Linked DNA regions of Ovis aries. The protein of the gene in region 1 interacts with the protein of each later gene in a pairwise test. Links are inferred from orthologs where the notes say so. Each region holds a gene or a part of one and is shown in the gene's direction. Other genes may lie near its edges.

Region 1 (3,500 bases):
TATCCCTTCTCCAGGGGATCTTCTCGACCCAGGAATTGAACCAGGGTCTCCTGCGTTGCAGGCAGATTCTTTACCAGCTTAGCTACCGGGGATGCCTGGGTAAACAAAATGTGGTATATAAATACAATGAAGCATTTAAATTCAGCCTTTAAAAGGAAGAAAATTCCGACACACACTACAGCATGGATGGACCCTGAGGACATTATTCTAAGTGAAATGAGCCAGCCATGAAAGGACAAATACTGTATGATTCCACGTAGACACCCGGAGGAGTCAGAGTCACAGAGAAATAAAGTAGAAAGATGGCTTCCAAGGCTGAATGCAGGGGGAGAGGGGGGTCAGAGTTCAGTTTGGCAGGATGAAAAGAATCCTGGAGATGGATGGTTAAGATGGTAAGTTTTCTATTACTTGTATTTTACTACAGTGGAAAAAACCCAAACAAACAAAAACAGAAAGAATAGGGATGGGAATTCAAAGGCAGGAAGTAGGGAGGTGTGGTGGGAGACCCTGTCAGTGACACCATGATCTTGGACCACTGGGATACACGCTGTTGTCTTCTCAGCATGTCTTAGCCGTGGATCTTCAATACCTCCTCCTGTGTCTCTTCCCGCCCCTACTGGAGGAGGGGTCAGCAGGTAGATCAGGTAGGGTGGTCGGCATCTTGGGGTTGCGAGGACATGGGTGAGATGGGGAGACAGCCAGTATTAGAGCTGTGCTCTTATCAGCTGGCGGCCAGCGCAGGAACCATGGGCGTATGTTGATTAAAAGAGTCTCATTGGAGATTCAGGATGCTACGGGCACTGAGATGATTATCTGCCATAACGCTGTGTGCACAGCGGGCATTCAATTACCTGCTGCTTGTTTGGTTCATTGACCTCAAGATTGGATGATACTCAATTCTTGGGATTTGGGTTGTCATATTAGTGGAAATTAAATTTATTTAATATTTTTATGAACCTTAGGCTGCATAACCCTATCTGTGGCATCTCACTGTTCTTTCAATCCTTAGACTTAGGAAACTATGGCTTCTAGTCTTTCTCTGCATGCTGTATCTGCATGCTTGGGGGCAGACCAGCCAAGGCTTGTTTGCTTTTCCTTTTTTGGTCGTGTTAGCTGCTTTGCTGGCCTCTCAAGTCCCTGAAGTTTGTTGCACTCTGTTCTGGCTCTATCACCTGAAATAAGTAAGTGGTTTACATATTTGCTGGATTCTTCCAAGTCTAATTCTTGGCTCACCACCCGCAGTTATTTAATGCTTGGGAGGGAAGCTTTTTCCTTATGCCAGCTAATCAGAAATACAAAGCTGACATGATTTTTCCAGTTCAGCAAACCTCCAAAAATCTGCCCGCCTTCAAGGGGAGCTTCACGGCCCTCATGCAGGTGGCGAACTCTGCTGTAAAGAGAGAGTTCTCAGCAGTGTAGTCGACCATGAATGGGGTTAATTTACAAAACCTGCTCTCTCCATTCTCTGCAGAAAGAAATTGAGACCCTCCAAGCCAGGATGTCTGTTCTGGAAGCAAAAGATCAACAGCTGAGACGGGAAATTGAGGAGCAGGAGCGGCTTCTCCCGTGGCAGGGCTGCGACCTTGTGGGAGGGTTGTCCCTGGGCGAGCTGCAGGAGGTCACCAAGACCTTGCAGGACACCCTGGCCTTGGCCGAGCAGATTCCCCTCCGTGCAGAGCCACCTGAAGCCATCCAGAGGTACTGGTGATTTCCTAAGTGATTTTGGATCTCTCGCCTTGTCGATCTGTTTATGGGGTTGATTTAGTCTGCGGTCCTACATATGTAAACGTTGGGTTGGCCAAGGAACTTTTCCGTCAACTCAGTATTTTCCAAGCAGTGCTGTGTATTTTCAAGGGAAAGTACTCCCGGCATTTTGAGGGTCAAGGCCCTTCTTTGTGGGGGCAGCCCTGTCCACTGCAGGACGCTCTACACCGTGGCTACCCAGCCTATTGGGCTCCCTAGGTGGTTCAGTGGGTAAAGAACCCGTCTGCACTGCAGGAGACACAGGCATATACGAATCGATCCCGGGGTCAGGAAGATCCCCTGGAGGAGGCCATGGCAACCCACTCCAGTATTTTTGCCTGGAGAATCCCATGGACAGAGGAGCGGTTGCAAAGAGTCAGACGCGACTGAGCAGGATGCACACAGCCTGCTAAATGCCTCTTTCTCTCCATTCTGCTCAGCACCTTCCCCATTTCCTAACGCCCCCCGGGCGCCTTCTCTCTCTTTGGGATCTGTTGGAGTTTGATCGGTTGGAGAGTTTGATGCCAACAATCGTCTGGAGACAAGGGGAATGTTAGAAAGTGTTAGTCGCTCAGTTGTGTCCGACTCGTTGCGACCCATGGACTGTAGCGCACCAGACTCCTCTGTCCATGGAATTCTCCTTGCTAGAATACTGGAGTGGGCTGCCATTTCCTTCTCCAGGGGAATCTTCCTGACTCAGGGATCGAACCTGGGTCTCCTGCATGGCAGGCAGACTCTTTATCATCAGAGCCGCCAGGGAAGCCTGGAGGCAAAGGAGGGAATGAGCTACTAAGAGGGGAGACTCAATCAGTGACCAGGAAGAAGAGATGATCATTCATGACAACCAGCATTTATTGAGTCTTACTGTGTGTCAGGCGCTGTGCTAAGCTTTACGCGATGAGTGGCGTCTATTATTATATCCATTTCACAGATGAGGATAAGAGAGCTTAGGAAGATCAAATAGTTTGCCAAAGTCTCAATTGATAAGAGACAAAACTGATACTAAAATTCGTGTTTGTTGCATCAAAGCCTAGTTTCTTACCCGCTTGTGGAGGGAGAACCTTCCCTGTGCTCTCTGTTGAGGAAGACACAAGAAATACGTGTGGACCTCTGACCTTCTGGGAGGTCATTACCTTATTCTGGCCAAAGATGGAACCTGCCCCTACTCCTATTAGACAGAAGTCGAGCTGGTGGTGAGGCTTGAGGGTGCAGCGGGTGCAGCAACGAGGGGAATGAATGTGCTGCTCAATTACGCTGCAGGAAACACTCAAGAAAACCTTGCCACCTGTAGCGGCTGAGAATAGGGACTCTTGCTATCTACTCATCCATATATTAGTTGGAACCACTTATTATCGGGGGGCTGTTCCTCGGATGAACTGGGTTAAAATGTATCAATATAAGGGTCATATGATGGTGCCTGGGTGGCAGCACGCCCCTTTACTGTCATATAATGGTGCCTGTCCTTCTCATCACAGGGATTTCCATCTTCAGAAGCCTTCTAACTGCTGTCCAAATGTGTCTTAGACTGTTTAGCAAGTATCTGCCCTCTTACACATGCCACACTCGGTGGTATCAGCTGGGATGCTCGTCCAGGAAGATGCTCACCATGTCCTCCCCTCCCCGTCCCAGCCCTGATATTTCCCTGCAGAGCTTTAACCCTGGGCTCCATCCACAGGGAAGGGGAGGGCGTGTGTTGTTGCCAGATTTTAGTCAAAGGAAGCTGACCATCAAGCCTGCCTGTGCCCTTTCTCCTTCAC
Region 2 (2,434 bases), on another chromosome or scaffold:
AATTAATATGTACAACCAGCAGTTGCCTTTTTACACCTCTAATGAATCTCCTTTTAAATTTAATTTTAATAATCCAAGTGCATTTTTTAATTTGTCTTGTTTCAGTGAGATTATAAAATTGTTTTTCTTTTTTTAGAAAAAGGAATTAATTTAAAAAGCAAACTATTCTTACTTTTTAGATGAGAGGTTATCCAGTTTTTGCTTTATCAAGCACTTATTGATAAATGCAATGAGATGTATATCTCAATGTAGCAAGAGTATATGAATTTGTAAATTATTTTCATTATGAAGTTAAAGTTTTAAGTTCTAGTGAATCCATTTTAAAGCATTCTATTTATTGCCTGCTAAAAATTCTATTTGTCTAATGTGAAAATGTATCACACTAAAAATGAACTATGTAACCAATAATCTTAAAATTTTTATTTTAATCCCAGTCTTCAGAGCATCTTTCATCTGTGTTTCATCAACTTCATACCATATTAACTTGCTTACTGCAGAAAGATAAATCTCAGAACAATTTAAAATAATTATTTACTTTTAAATTTTAATTGGAACTTTGTTGTCTCATCAAATATGGAAAATAACACCTAAATTTAACGTGGTGTTATTTATTTCTAGGAACTGGAGCTCTGTCGAAGGTTATACAAATTGCATTTTCAACTGCTGCTTCTGTTCCAAGCCTACTGTAAACTTATCAACCAAGTCAACACAATAAAAAATGAAGCAGAGGTAAATATTCAGTTGTAGTAGGCATTAGTAACTGATCGTACAAAATTAAAATACATTCATGCTTATTTCCTTGTAGGAGTGCTAAGGTCGAAAGTCACTTATGGAGAGTGGCTAGTGGGTCTTTTTTCCCCCCATAGTTAAGTATTATCAGTTTTTGAAATGATGTGCTATTTTAGGACCAGTTAGTAAATCTAAAAGCAGATATCCAATGATCTTAAAAGGTTTGAGACGTTAAAGTTTGCAATAGCAGCAATAGATCATCTGTAATCAAAAATCAAGTGAAGCACGTCAATACAATAAAGACAAAATTGTATTATGAAACCCCCTAACATCTTGTCCATGTAGTATTTCTATAGTTCTAGTAACTCACACAAAAATAAACACATCAAGAACACTGCAGGTATTAGAAAGCATGAACAGATTCACTTTTAGAATCTTTCCCTCTTGCCAACCACTGGTACCAGAACTATCACCAAGGAAAACACTGCATTTTCTAAATTTACTTTAAAAAAAAAAAAAACATACATACCGGCTTATATAAAATACCTTGGAGAAATAGCCCTTTAAAATATAAAGACATCTCATTACTGTCAATTTTTTTTCATGATCCTCCCAGAATTCCAGGCCTTATGTTACGAAACAATAATATAAATGTATTTTTACTATCCAAGATGAAGTATGTATAACATGTTATCACATGTTAAAATATAGACCAATATAAACAACCTATTGTTTTACTTATTACAAGGTATTGATAACATTTATTACATTTAACCTGTTGTTTTATCAAGAGTATCTAAAGACTACTGTTTGGCAGCTGAAATTATTCCAGCTGAATAGAGAACTTGAAATATTAACTGTCCTAAGTTTAACAACTGAAAATAATCTTGAAGAGAAAATATTACCATCATCAGATGTAATTTCACAGCTAAGTAAGTACTCAGTATTGTTACTGAATGTACAAATTTGATCCCTTTAAGGTATATTTATTTCTTTCAGGTCTTCAACATGTCAGAGGAACTTGCCCAGTTGGAAAGTATCCTCAAAGAAGCTGAGTCTGCCTCAGAAAACGAAGAAATTGACATTTCCAAAGCTGCACAAACTACTATAGAAACTGCCATTCATTCTTTAATTGAAACTTTGAAAAATAAGGAATTTATATCAGCTGTAGCACAAGTCAAAGCTTTCAGGTAAAATGTGAAGGGATTTATAGGAGATGCCTTTATACCTAACTGGAAATTTATGATGGAGTTTGGGTTTTCAACTTGATGTCTCAATCTTTGTGAAAGGAAAACATGACCTTATTTTGTACACTTACCAATGCAATGACACCAATTCTAGACTTTGTTCATTCTCGGTGCTACTTTCAGTAATATTTGTTAAAATGTTAAAACAGATCCTCAGTGATTCATAAGGAAATTACTTTTTTTGTAAGTATTAACTTAAAAGTACTTAATCTGGAATGATTGCTATGACTCTCAGGACTTACAAATACTGTGTGCTTTCAGATCTCTCTGGCCCAATGACATCTTTGGCAGCTGTGAAGACGCCCCTGTCCAGACGCTATTACACATCTATTTCCACCACCAGACGCTGGGCCAGACGGGAAGCTTTGCAGTCATAGGCTCTGACCTGGACATGTCAGAAGCCAACTACAAACTGATGGAACTTAACCTAGAAATAAGAGAGTCTCTACGCACGGTGC
Region 3 (3,500 bases), on another chromosome or scaffold:
ACCCCTTCTCGAAGTATGTATTATGCTAATATTCTCTGCTGAGAGAGTTTATCATTCTAACATGAATTATTATTTTCATTTCTGCCAACAGAGGAAACTTCGAGAGGTGTCCACAAAGTTCCAGCTTTTCCAGAAGCCTGCTAACTTTGAACAGCGCATGCTTGACTGCAAGCGTGTGCTTGATGGTGTGAAAGCAGAGCTTCATATTCTGGATGTGAAGGATGTGGACCCTGATGTCATACAGACCCACTTGGACAAGTGTATGGTAAGGCCACTGGGTTGTTAATGTGTCCAACGGGTTTTCCTGTTGCTAATATGGCTTCATCTAGTGCTTATGTACATGGTTTGTTCAGTTGTTGTTAGTCTAAAATGTGCTAAGAATAAGGATAAATGATGAAAAACAGGTTAGAAAATTAGAAGTGTGGTTCTTTCCTCCTAGGAAATTAGAAGAGATAGGAGAGAGAGACAGCAGAGATTAAAATCAATCACTCCAGTGTAAGGAGATCCAACCAGTCCATTCTAAAGGAGATCAGTCCTGGGTGTTCTTTGGAAGGAATGATGCTAAAGCTGAAACTCCATACTTTGGCTACTCCATGCGAAGAGCTGACTCATTGGAAAAGACTCTGATGCGGGGAGGGATTGGGGCAGGAGGAGAAGGGGACAACAGAGGATGAGATGGCTGGATGGCATCACCGACTCGATGGACATGAGTTTGAGTAAACTCCGGGAGTTGGTGGTGGACAGGGAGGCCTGGCGTGCTGCGATTCATGGGGTTGCAAAGAGTTGGACACAACTGAGTGACTGAACTGAACTGAACTGAAGTACAGTGTAATGAGATAAGGAAACCAGAATAGACATGTATATAACATGATTTAAAAACAAGAAGAAAGCATATCTTAATCACAGTATGAAGTTAGGGAAGGCTTTGACAGAATGTGACTAAACAGCTAAATTTTAAAGGATAAATTTGAGTTAGCTAGAAGAACCAGGAAATGGCAACCCAGTCCAGTATTCCTGCTTGGAGAATCCCATGGACAGAGGAATCTGGCAGGCTACAGTCCATGAGGTCGCAAGAGCTGGACACAACTTAGTAACTAAACCACTACCAGAAGAACCATACTTAGAATGAATGTCAGGAATATTGCAATGTACAGCAAATTCATTCTCAAAGAAAGTAAAATTTTAAATATTAATTTATACAGTTTAAGCCTAAAGTGTGAAAGAAGAAATTATACTTAGAATGGATGTCAGTCATATGGTAGCATAAAAATCATTCTCTAGGAAATAAAATTTTAAATCAAATCTAAACTTAAGATGTAAAAGAAAAAATTATTTGAAAGACTTTATTACTTTTTAGTTTGAACTTTAAAATTCAGTTGCACAGAAATTTAAAGATCATGTGCCTGAGTATTTGGAGAAGGCAATGGCACCCCACTCCAATACTCTTGCCTGGAAAATCCCATGGGTGGAGGAGCCTGGTGGGCTGCAGTCCATGGGGTCGTGAAGAGTCGGACACGACTGAGCAACTTCATTTTCACTTTTCGCTTTCATGCATTGGAGAAGGAAATGGCAACCCATTCCAGTGTTCTTGCCTGGGGAATCCCAGGGACGGGGGAGCCTGGTGGGCTGCCGTCTATGGGGTCGCACAGAGTCGGACACGACTGACGTGACTTAGCAGCGGCAGCAGCAGCCTGAGTATTCAGTCTTAGAATTGGGGTTTTGCCTGAGAAGAATCATGAGAAAACGGAAGATGACACATGTTAAGAAAAGTCTGGGAAGAGTTCTTTGTGCTTTTCAAAACTGCAATCTCCACATGTCTTTGCATGCTGAAGATTGTTTGATTACTTAAAAACTGGAATGAATGAAAGGATGAACAAATAGGATGTATTTTTATACATAATACGTGTGCATATGCATGTATGAATGTACAGGTATATTTACTGAGATGCAGAGATCACCAAAGCAAGCACTGTCCTTGATCTTGGGTCATTTAGTCCAATGGTCTGTTACTATGGGGCCATGCCACGTGGGTGTTTCAGGTCAACACTATGATGAATGGAGATAAGAGAACCTGCCCAGGATAAAGCTTTTCAGTTTCAAAGCAATGAGGATGAGGGCATCTCTGAATTTGACCTATATAACTTCAGCTTCTTACATATTGATGTATGGAACTTTTATATGTTTTTTCATTATATAACTAACATGTGCTCATTGTGGTAGACTTTGTATTTCAGAGAACTGTAAGAAAAAAATTGTATCTTAATACTTTGAAATTCCCACAGCCGGAAATAGCCAGCATTAGCTTTTTTCTAGTAATGGCATTTAGGATTTTGAAAAATGTAATTTTAAAAAATGTTAGACGTTCAACTTTTTGTCCTCATGTTTCCCATTTTTTGTAGGAAAAATGTTCATATTATCAAGTACTTCCCTAAACCTTTAAGATACAGGTTTGAGTCTTTTTTAAATAAGACAAGTATAATCCCTATGAGTGTATTTTCTTATCTGAATTTAAAAAATTATTACAACCTTGATTTCATCTTACTCATTCTTTGAACCAGATCTGAGAGAGATAAAGCCCTTTGATCTCCATGGTTAGTTCTTAGCTGTCGATCTTTGTCATCCATGTTCTGAAATGTTTCCAGTTACCACATTTTCACTAATATGTATTATTTGTCTGGCTTTATTTTTAAGAAACTCTATAAAATTTTGAGTGAAGTCAAGCTTGAAGTGGAGACAGTAATCAAAACAGGAAGGCACATTGTCCAGAAGCAGCAAACCGACAACCCTAAGGGGATGGATGAGCAGCTGACTTCTCTGAAGGTTCTCTACAATGACCTGGGTGCCCAGGTGAGCAGGGCAGGTGTACTGCCCCCTCTGTCTCTCTCATTTATGTATTCTAAAATTTTACTTCTGGGAGAAGAATGCTTATTTGAATTTTATGGCATCAATCATACATGTTTCCATTTATTCCAATAATTTTTATTATATATCTTTAAAAGTGTGTGTTGACTATGAGGGTCACTCCATTTCTTCTAAGGGATTCTTGTCCACATTTCAGTTCAGTTCAGTTGCTTAGTTGTGTCTGACTCTTTGCGACCCCATGGACTGCAGCATGCCTGGCTTCCCTATCCATCACCAACTCCCAGAGCTCACTCAAACACATGTCCATTGAGCCAGTGATGCCATCCAACCATCTCATCCTTTGTCGTCCCCTTCTCCTCTCACCTTCAGTCTTTCCGAGCATCAGGGTCTTTTCCAATGGGTCAGTTCTTTGCATCAGGTAGCCAAAATATTGGAGTTTCAACTTCAGCATCAGTCATTCCAATGAATATTCAGTGTTGATTTCCTTTAGGATGGACTGGTTGGATCTCCTTGCAGTCCAAGGCACTCTCAAGAGTCCTCTCCACCACCACAGTTCAAAAGCATCAGTTCTTTGGTGGTCAGCTTTCTTTATAGTCCAACTTTCACATCCATACATGATGGCTGGAAAAACCATAGCT
Region 4 (3,500 bases), on another chromosome or scaffold:
CTAGCTCCTCCTTGCAAGCATGCTCTCCTAGTCCTCAGATCTTGAATGCTATGGCTCTGAGGGGCGGTGGGGGGGGGGGAGACAGGCTACCCTTGCTTCTGACCGCACTTTAATTGCCTTGAACACTTGCAGCAGCAGTTCCTGTGAGGGCACCTAAATGACTGTGAAAGCAGTTTGTCTGGACTGACTCTAGCCTTGAAGAGTGATTTTTTTTTAAGTGGACGGTGAAAATATTTGTCTGTTAATGGCTGTCTGTTTCAGGCAGGCTAGTAAGCTAGCTCTTCAACAGTTTTCATTTTCTTGCTTGCAGGGCTAACTTAAAAGAGTTTTTTCAATGCTGCAGACTGAAGAAGCAGTCCACTCCCATGTAACCATGACAGAGACCCAGAGAGCTTTTTTGCAGCCTGCATTTTTACTGTTATTTCCCGTTACTTAGCACCTGCCCCTAAGGAACCTTGAACACAACCAGGATCTCTTTTGCATGTGGCTGTAGATGCATTTCATGAATAGTTTGAACCCTTGTCAATGCATTTTTTGAAAAAACAAAAACAAACAAAAAAAGAGATACTTTGTGTATGTGACTTAAAGCATGTAACCATAAGATGTTGCATTCTAAACTGACAATAAAGACCTTTCCCAAATATGTTGGTGTTCTGAAGACTGTTTAATATACTCTTCTAACTCCTGTGGACCAGAATAAATCAATCTATAAAGAAAGCGGGAGTGTGGACATTTTCCCTTACCTAGGGAGAAGCCAGGCCAAGGCAGGGTGTTAGAAGTTTTTGCACGCATCGCACTGAACCCAGCTTATTTTAACCTTGCAGGCAATAAAAGCGAAAATGGATGAACTTAGGCCTTTGATACCTGTGTTGGAGGAGTACAAGGCCGATGCCAAATTGGTATTGCAGTTTAAGGAGGAGGTCCAGAATCTGACGGCAGTGCTTAACGAGCTGCAAGAGGAAATTGGCGCCTATGACTACGATGAACTGCAGAGCAGAGTGTCCAATCTTGAAGAGAGGCTCCGTGCATGCATGCAAAAACTAGGTAGGCCCAGAACCCTGCGGGCGGGGCACTGCACCGCCCACCTGCCGCTGGCTCACTCAGGCTCAGGGAGTGGTGCTGAACTGGACAGCGCCCGCCTGGCTTCCCCAGCGGTGGCTGGGTTAGGGCCCCTGGGTAGGGTTGCCTGGACAGGTAGCTGAGGAGTGTAGGCCGCGCCTGTCCTAGGGCCTTGTCCAATCCCGTGCAGAGGCCAGCTCACAGACCCCACTGAGCTGCACATCTGGAAAACTGATGTTAGATGTTACATGGCATCTGAAGAGAGTGTGTGTGCACGGGTGTGTGTGCGCTTGTGTCCCTGTGTGTTGGGTGGCTTTTTAGGACACGAGTTTCATAGAGCTGGAAGCACATCTCATCCCCTCCAGCTTTCAGGAAAGGGCTGACACAGCTCCCTGAGAAACCGAACCATGCAGAAAATTCCATCGCATCGAGGCGGAAGGCTCGCCATTCCTAACAAGCGAGGGGATCCCTCTGGCACCTGGAGGGTGCGGGGCTGGGAGCCGGTGGCCCCAAGGCTCCTTCCGAGTCTTGTCTGTGGTGGATACCCATCACCTTATCAACTTTCTGGTTAATTTAGCAAATCTTAACGTGTCCACGTCAGAGTCCATTTTGAAATAGCACATGTTAAATCCCAATTCCATTTTTAGGTTTTCTTAGGAAAGATTGGCTGGCCCTTCTCACTCACTGTTTTCTAACGCAAAGGTGGTTCATTTTCTTATTGTTTACTTTTTGGAGTAACAGCATGATTCTGCTTTATGCACGAGTTTCCTTTAGGTTTTATCTGGCGCTTTCACTTGGTCCTCTTTTCATCCCCTACCCCCCGCCCCCTGCACACTACAAATGCCGTATTTTAAACTTAAAACATCCCAAAAGAACAAGTACTTTAAAAAAAGAACAAACAAACAAACCCAGTGCTATTAGGTGGGAGACAGAAAACGTTCAAAGGGCAAGGAGACAGAGTCAGCCAACCTTTTGTGTGAATAGGTTCCCATGTCTGGGTTATTTTTAATGCTGTTCTAGGTGCCCTAGGAAAGTCCCCCAGGCCCAGCGAGGGCAGTGAGCGATGCTGGAGGCTTGGAAGGAGTCCGCTGTGGTGTGTGCGCTCGTCCGCGCCTTGTGAGGGATTCTGTGCTACTGTTTTTTCACATGTGGTGCCTGGTGCCCAAGTCCTGGTGTGTCCGGGGCTGGGTGACCTGGGACAGTTTCAGGACGGGTCTGGGCTGGACGGTCTCCACCCGCCCTTCCCATATCAGCGTCCAGGAGGCAGCAGGAATGCTTGGCGTATTGCTGGGTGTCGGGCTTCTCAGTGGTTACGGGCTGTGTGGTAACCTCTGGTGGGCACTGTCTTTGGCTCCTGCCTGTGAAGGCGCTACACTCCCATCCCACTCTCCAGACCCTCCGGACACTTCCCCGACACTTCTCTCTTGTTACTCATTTCCGCACAGCACTGTTTTTATTCCCTGGTAGACAGACCACGTAGACCAGTGAGAAACCAAGATTAAACCTCCACATTTTCTGATTAACAGACCAAGCAGTAAGGTGGAAATTCAGAGAGAGAAGTTAGCTCTGATGAGACGCTAGGCGCCTTTCCAGGAGAAGGCTGCCTGTCCCAGGCGGGTGGCCTTCCCCTCCAAACTCGGCCTATTTTTAGAAGCCGGCTGAATTCATTTTTCAGGCTAGCGATCTTGGGGCTTTCACGTGGCTGCCCTCGGGCCGCTGAAATGGCCCTCTCGGGAGCGAGGAGAGAGGACGAAGAGGCCCCCGGAGCCCTGCCCTCCACCGTGGAGTGCAGCCGCTTCTGTGCTTAATTCCTTCTTCAGAAAGACCTTGGCACAGAGATGGATGTGCTGAGCCAGTGGCAGCGGGGTCGGGGGTGGGGATCTGCCTCTAACCAGCGCTTGGCAGGCAATTCAGGAGGGCAGCAGCCGAGGGCCCCGCCTGTTGGTGTCCTGAGGCAGGAAGTGCCACTCGGTGGCCGTGTGGCTCAACCAGGGCACTGACCACTTCCGGTTCCGACCTCCCCTCCATCTATACAACGAAGGCAGAGGAGTCCCTGTGCCCTGGGGTCGCTGTGTGTGAGTTCACGTCGCGGATTGTGCAGCGAGCCCGGCACAGAGGAGATGGTGGAAGCACACGAGGGCAGGTGAGGAGGTCGTAAGGGATAGTGTGGTCGGCAGGTAGAGAGAGTATGAGACAGATGGCCGGCAGGGAGGCAGGCGGAGGGCAGACCACAGGCTGTAGGTTCAGCTGCAGCCTCGCCCTCACCCTAGCCTTCACTCAAGCTCGGCGGCTTAAACCCCAGCTACTATCCTGTGGCCACTTCATTTAGTCTTTATTTTAGGTACAAGTAGGTGCCCTCTTAGCAGGCTGTTTGCCTTGCTGGGAGGCAGCTATGAGCATAGCACAAGTAAGCCAGCTGCCCACACAGTGCCATCTTGGGT
Region 5 (3,500 bases), on another chromosome or scaffold:
CAGAGCACCAGACCTTCTGAAGGCCACGTCCAGGTCTTCGAAAGTTAAACAGGAAGTGGTCCAAACAGGATGGCTAAAGCAGAGAATGGCCGCCGAGGGGTAAGAACGGGTCAGCAGAAGGCCCCGTCCTCCACCTTCCGCTCCTCGGCCGTCACAGAGCTCACGTGGCGGCCGCCAGCCTGGAGCTCAAGTCCTGCTCCCAGGGCCCCAGATAGGGCCAAAGTGACGCGTTCTGAAATCCTCTCTGGGAAACGAAAACCTCTTGGCTGTGCGACTTAACGGCTGCTTCAACCTGTTTCTTTCAGATACCATTGTCCTCATCGCCTCCATAGCGGTCGTTTCTGCCAAAACTCAGGGTAACATCTTCGCCACGTCGGCGCTGCGCAGCCTGCGCTTCCTGCAGATCCTGCGCATGGTGCGTATGGACCGGCGCGGCGGCACCTGGAAGCTGCTGGGCTCCGTGGTCTACGCGCACAGCAAGGTGAGCTCGCACCTTCCGCACCCGCGGCCGCCCTGGTCGCCAGACTCTTCGAAAGCAAACTTGGGCTTTTCAGAAACTGACTAAAGCCATGCGAGGACACAATGTGGATTATGTAAAAGTCACCATAAATATCCAAGCAGTAGTCAAACACATGAAATCATGCTCAGATTTTGTTTTTGTTCCTGTTTCAAGTATTTTTCACCTCTAAAAAATCTCTCTTTCTTTTTATATCTATAAGGCTTCCCTCATAGCTCAGTCGGTAAAGAATCTGCCTGCAATGCAGGACCCGGGTTCAATTCCTGGGTCGGGAAGATCCCCTGAATAAGGAAATGGCAACCCCCTCCAGTATTCTTGCCTGGAGAATCCCATGGACAGAGGAGCCTAGCAGGCTATAGTCCATGCGGTCGCAAAAGTCAGACACCACTTAGTAACTAAACCACCACCACCACCACCACCACCACCACCATACCCAAGCAGTAGTCAAAGACATGAAATCATGCTTAGATTTTGTTTTTGTTTGTGTTTCGAGTATTTTTCACCTCTAAAACATCTCTCATTCTTTTTATATCTAGGAATTAATCACAGCTTGGTACATAGGATTTTTGGTTCTGATTTTTTCGTCTTTCCTTGTCTATCTGGTGGAAAAGGATGCTAATAAGGAGTTCTCTACCTACGCAGATGCTCTCTGGTGGGGCACGGTGAGTGGGAAAATCCGGTTTTATTTATGGGATGTTGTGAGATGTTTCCTTTGAATACAGTGCAGTGATTCCCATGAGTGGTCTCAGTAATACTATAAAAGAACTTCCAAAAGGGAAGTTAGTTTTGTGCAAATACGCAGCACTTTTAATTATCTGAAGAGTTGCCTCACCGGCTTAGGTCTAACAAAGTTCTCTTACAAATCAACTTACTGCTTCATGCGTGCCAGTCTGTTGCAAAATAAAAATGAATAATTTTTTAACCTTGATTAAAATGTTCACGAGCTCACTTATTTAACTTTGTGGAGCGCAGCTTTGAAGTACAAATTGTTGTGTTGTTTGTCACTCATCAGAAAGTTTATCTGAGGCTTTAAAAAAAGAAATAGTAGCTGAACAAAAGCTATGAGTAAAATTTTGGTACAAAAAGGGAAAGAGAAAAGAGTGGTAACCATCTGTGAGATCAGAGATTACAGACACTGTGTTTCAAATGTTTCTACTCTTTTTCCTTTATATTGTTGTTAAAGGATGGTTTTCCAAACAAATAAAAGTTAAAACATGACTCTCGTACACATAGAAAATAAAGCATGTGTAAATATTTTAAGTCATTATCAGTGAAGGAACTAAGAAGATGTTACAGCCAGTTCAGAGGACTATCCACAGAACAGAAGTGTGTAAAGATTAGGAGTATTGAATCTGCAAACAGAGGCAAACCTGGCTTCTTCCACAGTGAAAGCAGGAAGTCAGAGGCGCCCCCACCAGACAGAATTTCTTTACATATCTATAGACAAGAATTATTTTGCATTCCTGCTGCAACTTACACAATCCTAAAATAGCTCAAAGGCCATGAAAGGTACAGAGTCTGCCCCCCCCCACCCCATCAAATCAGAAATCGATAACCTAGAAGAACATACTCTAAACAACACATAGTTTTGCACTGAAGCAAAAATTGTCTTTCTATTGTAAAGAATTTATTAAGCAGTCATTGAATTGTGTACCCTAATAAGAATGTTTTAAGATAAAGGAATGCTTTATGCAATGTGTAAACTGCATTTCTTTTTATTTTATTCCTTAATATGTGCCAAAAGGGTGAAAATACAACAGCAGTTAGAGTTGTCTGAAGAGTCTCTTTGGTCCAGCAAACTTGTTGTCTTATAAAGCACTTGTAATATTTCTTGAGTGTTAGATTGTTGCCAAAGTAAAAATGCATCATCTTCTTAAACTATGATTGAAGCATTAGTAAGTTTGTTAGCCAGTCTGCCCCGTGGAGCTCACTGCTGCGCTCTTCCGCTATTTGTCAGAAGCTCATCAGTGAGAACTAGAATTGTCATCAAAGACGAGGATAACTCATCAGGGCTTGAAGTAAGCAGAACCTGGTATAGCAGCAATAAAATGAGTAAGAATCAGAAGTATAGTCGTTTGAAGATTAAGATTCTTTTTCCTTAGATTGTCAGAGCTAAATGTCTACAAGATTGTGTCACTGATAACAAAGCATCCTGTTGTTTCATAATTTGGTTTCCAACTCCTTGCCCTCCCCCACAAGCAATAATGACCACTTTGAAAGAAGGAAAGTGGAAAACCCAGAAGAGAGCTGTCATCTGACATGCCTAAAATACTTTGTATGTGTTGAGAACAAGTGAAAATGTATGACTCATAGTGGGGATAAACTGAGTAAACTGAGCAAAAAGGAGGTTTTTCTAGCCAGCAAGGGGAAGACAGCGATTTGAATTTTAGTTTCTGCATCGCTGTGAAAATCCTAATGTGGCTGAATGACTGAGACCCGTGGGCGCCCTTCTGTACTGAGGTGCAGCTGCTGGTGCATCCACCTGGCACCTCTCTAGCCTTCCATCCATCTTCCTACTACTCTCCTTCCTACTTAACCCCTGCCTACTGCATTGTGTGTTGAGTGTGTGGGGGAAATTCTCCATGTACTTAGTCACCAGCTTGTTTCTTTGCCAGAATAACCCACGTAGCAGGTTTCCAAAGGTCATCTCTGTGCCTTTCAGGGAAAAGCAGCATCTATTCATTGATTTCAGCGCAGCAGTGCTATTCGACTGAAGTTTAACCTGTACTTAGGGCTTCCCTGGTAGCTCAGCTGGTAAAGAATCTGCCTGCAATTCAGGAGACCCTGGTTCGATTCCTGGGTAGAGAAGATTCCCTGGAGAAAGGATAGGCTACCCACACCAGTATTCTTGGGCTTCCCTTGTGGCTCAGTTGATAAAGAATCTGCCTGCAAAGCGGGAGACCTAGGTTCTATCCCTGGGTTGGGATCAACCAAGGGATCCCTGGAGAAGGGAAACGCTACCCACTCCAGTATTCTGGCCTGG
Region 6 (3,500 bases), on another chromosome or scaffold:
AATCCTCCCCCGGGCGCTGGGAGGCAGGCAGGAGCGGGCCCTGTTTGTTTTATAGAGGAAGCTGAGGCTCCGAGAAGTGAAACCGCTTGCTCAAGGTCAGAGTGTGCGAGCGGCACGGCCCGGATATCCCCCTTCCTCACCACGTGCTTGGCTCCCACATTCAGAGTCCTTACCCGCAGCCCTACCTGGAGCCGTCCTGGCCCCGGGGCGGTGAGCAGGGAGATGAGGGCCCCCAGGGGCTTGCAGGACCCTAGCTGGTTGACCCCTGGGAACTCAGGCCTGATCCAGAGGCCCCGGGGGGAAGAGCCTGGTCCCTCCTGTCATTCACCCCTCTTCCCCTCTCTCTGAGCCTTTTCGCCTCCTACCGCCTTCTGTACAAAGAGAGGGGTTCCGTTTAACCCCGAAGGAGGCCCCTGAGTCCAAGACTTCACCCGGTTAAGAGCTCAGGCTGCCTGGGTTCAAATCTTGTTTCTTTGTCTTAGTTGCTGTGTGACCCCTGGGAAGACCTTAACTTCTCTGTGCCTCGCTTTCTCCTCTCTAAAATGGGGCCTCCCTTGAGGGTTAAGTGCACTCATATTTGTAGAGCAGGGCTGGGATCTTGTGTCCGAGAGCTGTGTGAAGCCCAGGCCCCTCCCGTTTCCTCTTTTCTAGTCTCTTCTCCCCTCCAGTCGGTTGTTCAGTCCGTTCTTTTACGAGCATCTGCTGATCGCTTTCTCGGCTGTAGCCACATTTCATCTGGGAGTTCTTTTAACCCTCACAGCCAGCCCATGAGGCGGGACCAGTTGTGCTTCCCACATTTCAGATGAGCAAGCTGAGGTTCAGAGAGGGGAGGCTATCTGTCTAGGGTCTCATGGTCGGGATCCTCAGAGCCTGATGTCAGGCTCCCCACCCCGTGCCCAGAGGTACACAGCAGGCACGCTGGCTGCCGGCCTCTGGAATCCGGCCAGGAGGCTGGAAGGAGTCCTCGAAGGTGTTGGCATTCCAGGGAGGGTCGGTCAGACTCGGCTGCCTCGTTCTGCCCAGGCATGTTTCTGGGAAGTCCTGGGCCTGCCCTCCAGCCAGGGCTCACGGTCCTGGGGAGACACACCCATCACCTAACGGTGACTGCCCAGAGAGGGAGGCCTGGGAGAGCGGGGCCTCGGGGCGGGGGCCGCTCAGAAAGGTGCCTGACCCCGCCTGGGTGTCAAGGAAGGCTTCTCAAAGGAGGTGACATCCGAGCCATTTGAAAGATTGCCAGACATTCGCCTGCGGAAGGAATCGTAACATTGTTCCTGGCACCTCGCAGCACCTGGCTTCCTTCTCTACTGTCGGTGTGTCCGTCTTTCTCTTTCTTTCCTACCTTCTTTCATTCATTCAGGAACCACTCACGGAGCCGGGAGTCCTCTTCCGTTCTTTTCTCCTGACTCCTCCTCCTCCGAGTCTCAGCCCTGGCATCCCCACTGGGTGGCCCCAGCCACAGCACTGCGGGTGTCACGGCCTGGGGGGCGGTGATCTGTGTGCCGTCCCAACCTCCAACTGGATCGTGAGCCCCTGGACAGCAGGGCGGGGGACTGCTGTGTCCTCAGACAGGGCCAGGGTTCAGAGTAAGACAGACAGCGCCCCTGCCCTTACAGGACTTAAGTTCACATTGGGAGGCTGGGCAATAAGCAAACACAACAAAGGAAGGTCCTGTTTTCTCAGATGCCTCTGGGGAAAAGAACAGTGGGAGTTAGGGCAGGAGTTCTTACTTTAGGCTGAGGGTCCGGAGGACTCTCTGAAACTTTAGCCCAGAGTGGGTACGTAAGTTGCCCCAGGACACACAGCTCACTGGGAGTAGAGCGGGGATGGGGCCCAGACTGCCTGCCCCCATGTCCGTGTCTGCCCTGTGCCGGTCCCCCCAGAGGCCACCTCGTGCAGAGGGTGACCGTGGGAGCCCGTGGCGCTTCGCCTGCTTCGGAACCCCTGTCTGCCACTTGCCTGGGGACGTGGTTTCCCTCTTAGAGCCTCATCTGGAAGTGGGGCTAACGCAGCCGTCCTCGGGGTGCCATGAGGGACCTGTGCAGGGACCTGTGTGCCAAGAGCCCCCCAAGGCACCTGGCACATCACGTACCCTCAGGTCGGGCGCTCCCCCTGGCTTCCGTCTCCTGCCTGTTGAACAGCCACATGGGCCAAGACAGCTCTGCAGATACAGACTGAGCGTCTGACCTTGAACAAGACCTCTGTGGCTTGCTGTAGAGGGAGCACCAGACGGTGCTTGTGCCGTGGGGATGTGCGGATGCCCCGGGTCGAGGTGTAACAGGCAGGGCACAGCCGTGGCTCATTTCAAATAAAATGGACTTTTCCCCTAGGCCAGATGTCATGTCCTGTCGCTGCACCCTGCTCTGGCTGTGGACTTTGGGATGCGTCCTGCCAGCTCCCCTGCCCTCACCTCCTACCCTCCCCAGGCTCACCCCGCCCCAGACACACCACCCTCTCGCTGGTCCTAGAACTTCGTGCTCTCCTCCCCAGTGCCTTTGCACCTGCTAGTCCTTCCATGGGGAAGGCTCTCCCTCTGGTCTGGTTTATCGCTTCCTTTGAGTCTCTGTTGTGTCACCTTCCTGAGCCCTAAGTAGGTCCCTTTTCTGTCCCCACTTCTGTTTTACTGGAACCCCTCTTTGGGCTTGTATACTTGTTTTGGGGCTCAGGGCAGACTGAGTTGCTGATTACCATCTCAGGGCTGGCACTCACTAACATACCCTCTCTGGGGTACATTCAGAAGACCCTCCGGAAGTTCCGGAGGAAGTGTTGCCTAGCTGGGGCCTTGAGGGGCGATGGTTGGGTGGGCAGGTATGTGGAAGTGATTTAGGGAGTTAGGGATTTGGGCTTGTGCTAGGGTGGGACAAGTCAGGAAGGGGAGCGGGCTGGAGAGACGTTTCTGAGCTCCATTCTGGGCCTGAGTTTCTCCATCTGTAAGTGGGGGGACTGGGCAGTCCCCAGCCTAGGACCCCTGCTGGCTGGGGGTGACACCCTTGCCTCATACCCCGCCCCCCCTTCCTGTTATCTTCACAGCCAAGGACTACGAGAACGCCATCAAGTTCTACAGCCAGGCCATCGAGCTGAACCCCAGCAATGCCATCTACTATGGCAACCGCAGCCTGGCCTACCTGCGCACCGAGTGCTACGGCTACGCGTTGGCCGACGCCACGCGGGCCATCGAGATGGACAAGAAGTACATCAAGGGCTACTACCGCCGGGCCGCCAGCAACATGGCGCTGGGCAAGTTCCGGGCCGCCCTGCGTGACTATGAGACGGTGAGCCGGGCCTGAACCAGGCTGGTGTTGAGGGCCAGGCGGGTGGGCTGGGACCTCCTGGTGCTTGGCCAGACCTGACGGGCAAGGCGTGAGGAGGCTGTGCTCACATTTACTCACCGCTCGCTCATCCAGCACACGCCAGCTGGGTTCACAGCCCAGCTCTGCCCTTGCTGCCTGGTGACCTTGGGCGAGTCACCTGGCCTCTCTGCGCATTCTTCCCTGTATCCATGA
Region 7 (4,117 bases), on another chromosome or scaffold:
TCACATATATTTAATTTTTGTGAAATGTTAAATATTTAGGTAATTAGGTGTTTTCAGATAATGCTTTTCAGGCTGGGTGGTTTGGTGTGGTAATTGTTTTAAAATTATCTAAAGCACTGTAACCTACCTTTGGTGCTCACAGTCAAGGAAACTACAGGATTTAGTTAAAATGTTAGTCTCTTGTTTATCTGAGTAGGACACTTGCCAAGGGCAAATTGCAGGATGTACCTTGGATTACCTTTTGAATGGCCTTCACACCTGCTTACTTTCTTTTAAACAGGATGATAAGAAAACAAAACAAAACCTTAGAGCTCTCAATTTATTTCCCTATCTGGTTGTAACAACTTTACATTCCTTATCAGCTACTATAAACAGCAGCAAAGATGATCCATGCTCTTGAAAGAAAGTAAATGTCAGCCTTTATTAGGAATATATTATAGCATATTTACATACAGTCAAAACAGAAGAGAGTGTATCAGTATTTTAATCTGTCTGACACATTACTTTGGTTCAGATAAAACATTCCATCTCTGCCTTCAGCGGCTAATTTAGCATTACCATTTTTGAGACTTTTGTACGCAGGTTTACAAAAAAGGCAAAAAATAAATCAGCACGCTATTTTGCTCGTTGCAGAGCTAGATACCTGATTTATGGAGGCACTGCCACAAGGTGAAATTTCATTGTTTCTGGGAGCTCAGATGTGATAGCTGTTTGCCTTTATCGTCTTATCTTGAGCTCTCTTTGAGGTCAGGAAAAGGCTAAATTTTACCGCGGTCCTCAGGGTCCAATGCGACCTCACGTAAGTCCGAGAGTTAAGAACCGCTGGTCCGGCGCCGCAGAAGCCTCCTAAGAGGGTGGGGGTGCGCTCCAGCTTAGTTTTGGGGAAAAGCGGAGGCTCTAATTGGGAGCGTAAAGGAAGGTGACTTTCGGGATGTGGGCAGCCGCCCGGAGACCCCTTTGGTTGGGTAGAGCAGCAGCTGCAGGGTACAACAGCCGGCGTCCCGAACAGGACCCGCTCCAAAATCCCGCCCGGGTCTCCCCCGCCCCCAAACAACGGCGCGCGCTTCCCGCCCTCCCCCTGCGCGTGCTCCCCGCCCTCCCCCTGTGCGCGCTCCCTTAGTCCTCCCCCTGCGCGCGCTCCCTCCGTTCTCACGCGCGCTCCCTAACGCGCCCCCGCCGCTGCTCCCGCCCGCGCTCACCCCGCCCTCTCCGCGGAGCGCGCTCACCCGGCCCGCGCGCACGCGCACCCCGCCCTCCCTCCCGCCCGGCGCGCGCGAGCCGGCGGGCTGAAGAGTGCGGTGGGCGGGGCGCCGCGCTGACGTTGCCTGGGATGCGGGCAGGTTCCGCCGCCGCCGCCGCCGCCGCCACCGCCACTGCCACCTCCTCCTCCTCCTCGCCTGCCACCGGGGTTTGTATGAAAACACCCGGCGGCGGGCGACTAGGTATCCGCGGTGTGTCGGGAGAGCAGCCGCTCGCGCTGCCGACGCCGAGCCGGGTGCTGCGGCTCTGCCTAGTTCCTGCCAGCGCCCCATCCTGAGCCGGTGAGCTCCCCGCCGCCGCCGCCGTCCGCGCGTCCTGGCCGGCAGCCCCTCGGCCGCGGCTAATCCGCCAGCCAGCCACCACTTCGCTCTCCCCGGCCGCGGTGTCTTGGGGGCGGGAGAAGCTAGGAAGGAGCGACCCCCGGCCCTCCTCGGTCTGCGCCCTGCTACCTCTGGGCCCCTTACCTGACAGATTGTGTAACCCGTGTCTTTCTGGGGTGGACCGGGTCTTGAAGGGAATCCCTGATGGGTGGGGGCTTTGGCCGATTTCTGGGAAACGCCCCACCCCGCCCCCACCCATGGTCACTCGGTCGTCCCCTCTCCAGCCCTCGCAGAGGGTAGCCGGTGAGGTCTCCGAGCAGAGGCGGCCCCCTGCCCTGCTCTTCCTTTCTCTCGGCGGTGACCGCGGTGCAGCGCAGAGCTGAGCGGTGCGGAGGGGCGGTGGGCAGGGCCGGGCGCGCGCCTTGCCTCCACACCTACCCAGCTCTCAGCCCCTAAGTGCACCCGGCTTCAAGGTGGGTAGTGGTGTGACGACGGCGATGGCCGAGCTTGCTTCCTTTCTGTGGTTGACTTGATCCGAAGTGTGTTCTCTGCTTACAACTTGTCGCCTTGTGGGTTTGATTTGGACATGAAGGAGATCGCCCTAGATGACAGTGCAGAGTTTCCCTCCAGCCTTCCTTCCCGAGTTGCGGGTTTTTCATGCGAGTGTGCAGGGGTACCTGCAACCCTACGCAAAGGCTTGCTGGGCTCCACGGTGGTTACCCTCCTGCGTCTTTAAGTCTCTTAATGTACCAGTGCAGGTTTGAGTCGGTCGGTTTCCTTTCCTGGGTATTTATCCATCTTAGAATAGAGTTTTACACATCGTTGTGAATGTTGATAACATAAAGCTTGTTTCTCTTTTTTAAGATAGCTTCCTCAAGTGCCTGCAGGTCTAGCACTGCTGATAACTTAATATGTTTTAAGACTCAGTAGAAATTTTCTGTGGCAATGTTCATTCTGCGTGGGTTTGTTTTTCTTCTTACTTTCAGGTATTCAAAATTGTAACAGTGTTTATGATGTACATTTGTAGCAGTGTCTATGATGTAGTTCGTACAGTTTGTGGGTAGAAAGGACTTTTAACAGTCTGCTGGATCACTCATTTTCACTTACCATTTCTGTCTTTCTTGGAATCTTTATGTAAATCGAGTTATCTCTTTCTTTGTTATCCTCTGAATTTGTTTTATAAAATGTCTTTTTTTTTTTTATCCCTGAGAAAACCAGAAAGTTATTTCTGTAATTATATTGTGGAATGTTTTCAGTTCAGTAGGCCAAAAAAATAGTAGTTTATTTAAGGCACTTTGTATGGTACATATTTTAAAACGTGTGCCAAATGTTAAAACTAAACAAAAACTCTGAAATATCTCTAAGTATTTTCTTCTGTAATTACTGTGAGATAGTTAGCGCTTATTCACTCCTTATTCCTTATCCTTAAGGCTGATTTGTAACTTGACTTATTCTGCTTCCCTTTCCACTTTGCTTGAATTAATTTCTACAGTGAAGTTCTAGGTTCATTTTTAATGACCTTAAAACTCTGCCTTGAGTTGCTTCAACACATATTTGAAACTGCATTCTCACTCTGAACACTGAAGTGAAAGGCATAAACATAGAGCTAGCCTTGTAATTAGCCACATTGCAAAACATTTAGATGTATAGTGTAATTTGAAATTTTGTAAAAGCAGTTTTTATAAAGCTCTATCAATTGATTTGAATTGAGGCATTATTCTCTTTGGAATAGTCTAGTTGATTCTTATATAATAATGGTTTTATCTTCAATTGCAGAAGGCAAAGAGGTCCAAGACTTGTGAAATTATCTAACTTATATTCTATATTTTGGACTAAAGGAAAATGTCCTCTGCAGTTTTACCTTCCAAAATCTACTCTTGCCTGAGGTCCTCTGGTACTTGGAAGTTGAACAGCACCCGCAGAGTAATGGATGAACCTGTCAGAGGGCTCTCTGCAAATTGGAAGCTTCTCTTTGGCAGTATGAACAGTGGACGTTGACTTTAAACTTTATGTATTATTGTTGGTTACTTGCCTGTGTGTACTGTAGTGTAGTGGCTAAGGGGCTGGGCCTCAGAGTCAGACAGGCCGGATTTAAATCCTGCCTTTGCTTTGGGCAAGTTATTTACCTTCTTTGTGCTTCAGTTTTCTCAACTCCAAAAATGGGGATAATTATGGTGTATACTCTTAAGATGATCTTGAATGTTAAGTGCTTAGCCCACAGTGCCTAGCACATAGAAAATGCTCAGTAAATATTATTATTGCTTCTGTGTTTCCTCAGCACAGGGGATCTCATAGCCGAAAAAGGGCTTTGGGCTGATTGAGTCCTGTTACTCCAGGTTAATCCCACTAAGACCCATTTGCTCTTTTGGGGCTGAGAGCTTAGTGTTACTGTCCTGTCTTGGAAGCATATAATTTAGTTTAAAATAGAACAGCTAGACCCTGAGCTGGGCGTCCTGAGATGCTGCTGGAGAGTGGCTGAAGTATCCGTTTGTCCCTTCTGACAGGACCTTGGATTGTCTCCCTCACAGTGGTGGCGG

The links.
Region 2: the proteins of DISC1 (region 1) and FRYL interact in a two-hybrid assay, tested with the Homo sapiens proteins (2 studies listed by BioGRID and IntAct). The link is inferred for Ovis aries from reciprocal best matches to the Homo sapiens genes DISC1 and FRYL.
Region 3: the proteins of DISC1 (region 1) and UTRN interact in a two-hybrid assay, tested with the Homo sapiens proteins (2 studies listed by BioGRID and IntAct). The link is inferred for Ovis aries from reciprocal best matches to the Homo sapiens genes DISC1 and UTRN.
Region 4: the proteins of DISC1 (region 1) and OLFM1 interact in binary tests that used the Homo sapiens proteins (3 or more experiments, as listed by UniProt). The link is inferred for Ovis aries from reciprocal best matches to the Homo sapiens genes DISC1 and OLFM1.
Region 5: the proteins of DISC1 (region 1) and KCNQ5 interact in a two-hybrid assay, tested with the Homo sapiens proteins (2 studies listed by BioGRID and IntAct). The link is inferred for Ovis aries from reciprocal best matches to the Homo sapiens genes DISC1 and KCNQ5.
Region 6: the proteins of DISC1 (region 1) and PPP5C interact in a two-hybrid assay, tested with the Homo sapiens proteins (2 studies listed by BioGRID and IntAct). The link is inferred for Ovis aries from reciprocal best matches to the Homo sapiens genes DISC1 and PPP5C.
Region 7: the proteins of DISC1 (region 1) and AGTPBP1 interact in a two-hybrid assay, tested with the Homo sapiens proteins (2 studies listed by BioGRID and IntAct). The link is inferred for Ovis aries from reciprocal best matches to the Homo sapiens genes DISC1 and AGTPBP1.

Annotation. Positions count from the first base shown.
Region 1 is NC_056078.1:3,975,749-3,979,248, forward strand, and holds part of DISC1 (disrupted in schizophrenia 1 protein), read left to right. Parts: intron 1-1,471; coding exon 1,472-1,698; intron 1,699-3,500. UniProt on the Homo sapiens protein: Involved in the regulation of multiple aspects of embryonic and adult neurogenesis. Required for neural progenitor proliferation in the ventrical/subventrical zone during embryonic brain development and in the adult dentate gyrus of the hippocampus.
Region 2 is NC_056059.1:67,859,188-67,861,621, reverse strand, and holds part of FRYL (protein furry homolog-like), read left to right. Parts: exon of another isoform or gene 1-618; coding exon 619-729; exon of another isoform or gene 730-1,728; coding exon 1,729-1,919; exon of another isoform or gene 1,920-2,237; coding exon 2,238-2,434. UniProt on the Homo sapiens protein: Plays a key role in maintaining the integrity of polarized cell extensions during morphogenesis, regulates the actin cytoskeleton and plays a key role in patterning sensory neuron dendritic fields by promoting avoidance between homologous dendrites as well as by limiting dendritic branching.
Region 3 is NC_056061.1:69,042,803-69,046,302, forward strand, and holds part of UTRN (utrophin), read left to right. Parts: intron 1-91; coding exon 92-265; intron 266-2,691; coding exon 2,692-2,847; intron 2,848-3,500.
Region 4 is NC_056056.1:1,395,144-1,398,643, reverse strand, and holds part of OLFM1 (noelin), read left to right. Parts: intron 1-824; coding exon 825-1,044; intron 1,045-3,500. UniProt on the Homo sapiens protein: Contributes to the regulation of axonal growth in the embryonic and adult central nervous system by inhibiting interactions between RTN4R and LINGO1. Inhibits RTN4R-mediated axon growth cone collapse.
Region 5 is NC_056062.1:630,751-634,250, reverse strand, and holds part of KCNQ5 (potassium voltage-gated channel subfamily KQT member 5), read left to right. Parts: intron 1-305; coding exon 306-481; intron 482-1,053; coding exon 1,054-1,179; intron 1,180-3,500. UniProt on the Homo sapiens protein: Pore-forming subunit of the voltage-gated potassium (Kv) channel broadly expressed in brain and involved in the regulation of neuronal excitability.
Region 6 is NC_056067.1:53,378,727-53,382,226, forward strand, and holds part of PPP5C (serine/threonine-protein phosphatase 5), read left to right. Parts: intron 1-3,027; coding exon 3,028-3,269; intron 3,270-3,500. UniProt on the Homo sapiens protein: Serine/threonine-protein phosphatase that dephosphorylates a myriad of proteins involved in different signaling pathways including the kinases CSNK1E, ASK1/MAP3K5, PRKDC and RAF1, the nuclear receptors NR3C1, PPARG, ESR1 and ESR2, SMAD proteins and TAU/MAPT.
Region 7 is NC_056055.1:33,977,582-33,981,698, forward strand, and holds the start of AGTPBP1 (cytosolic carboxypeptidase 1), read left to right. Parts: upstream 1-1,317; 5' UTR 1,318-1,541; intron 1,542-4,117. UniProt on the Homo sapiens protein: Metallocarboxypeptidase that mediates protein deglutamylation of tubulin and non-tubulin target proteins.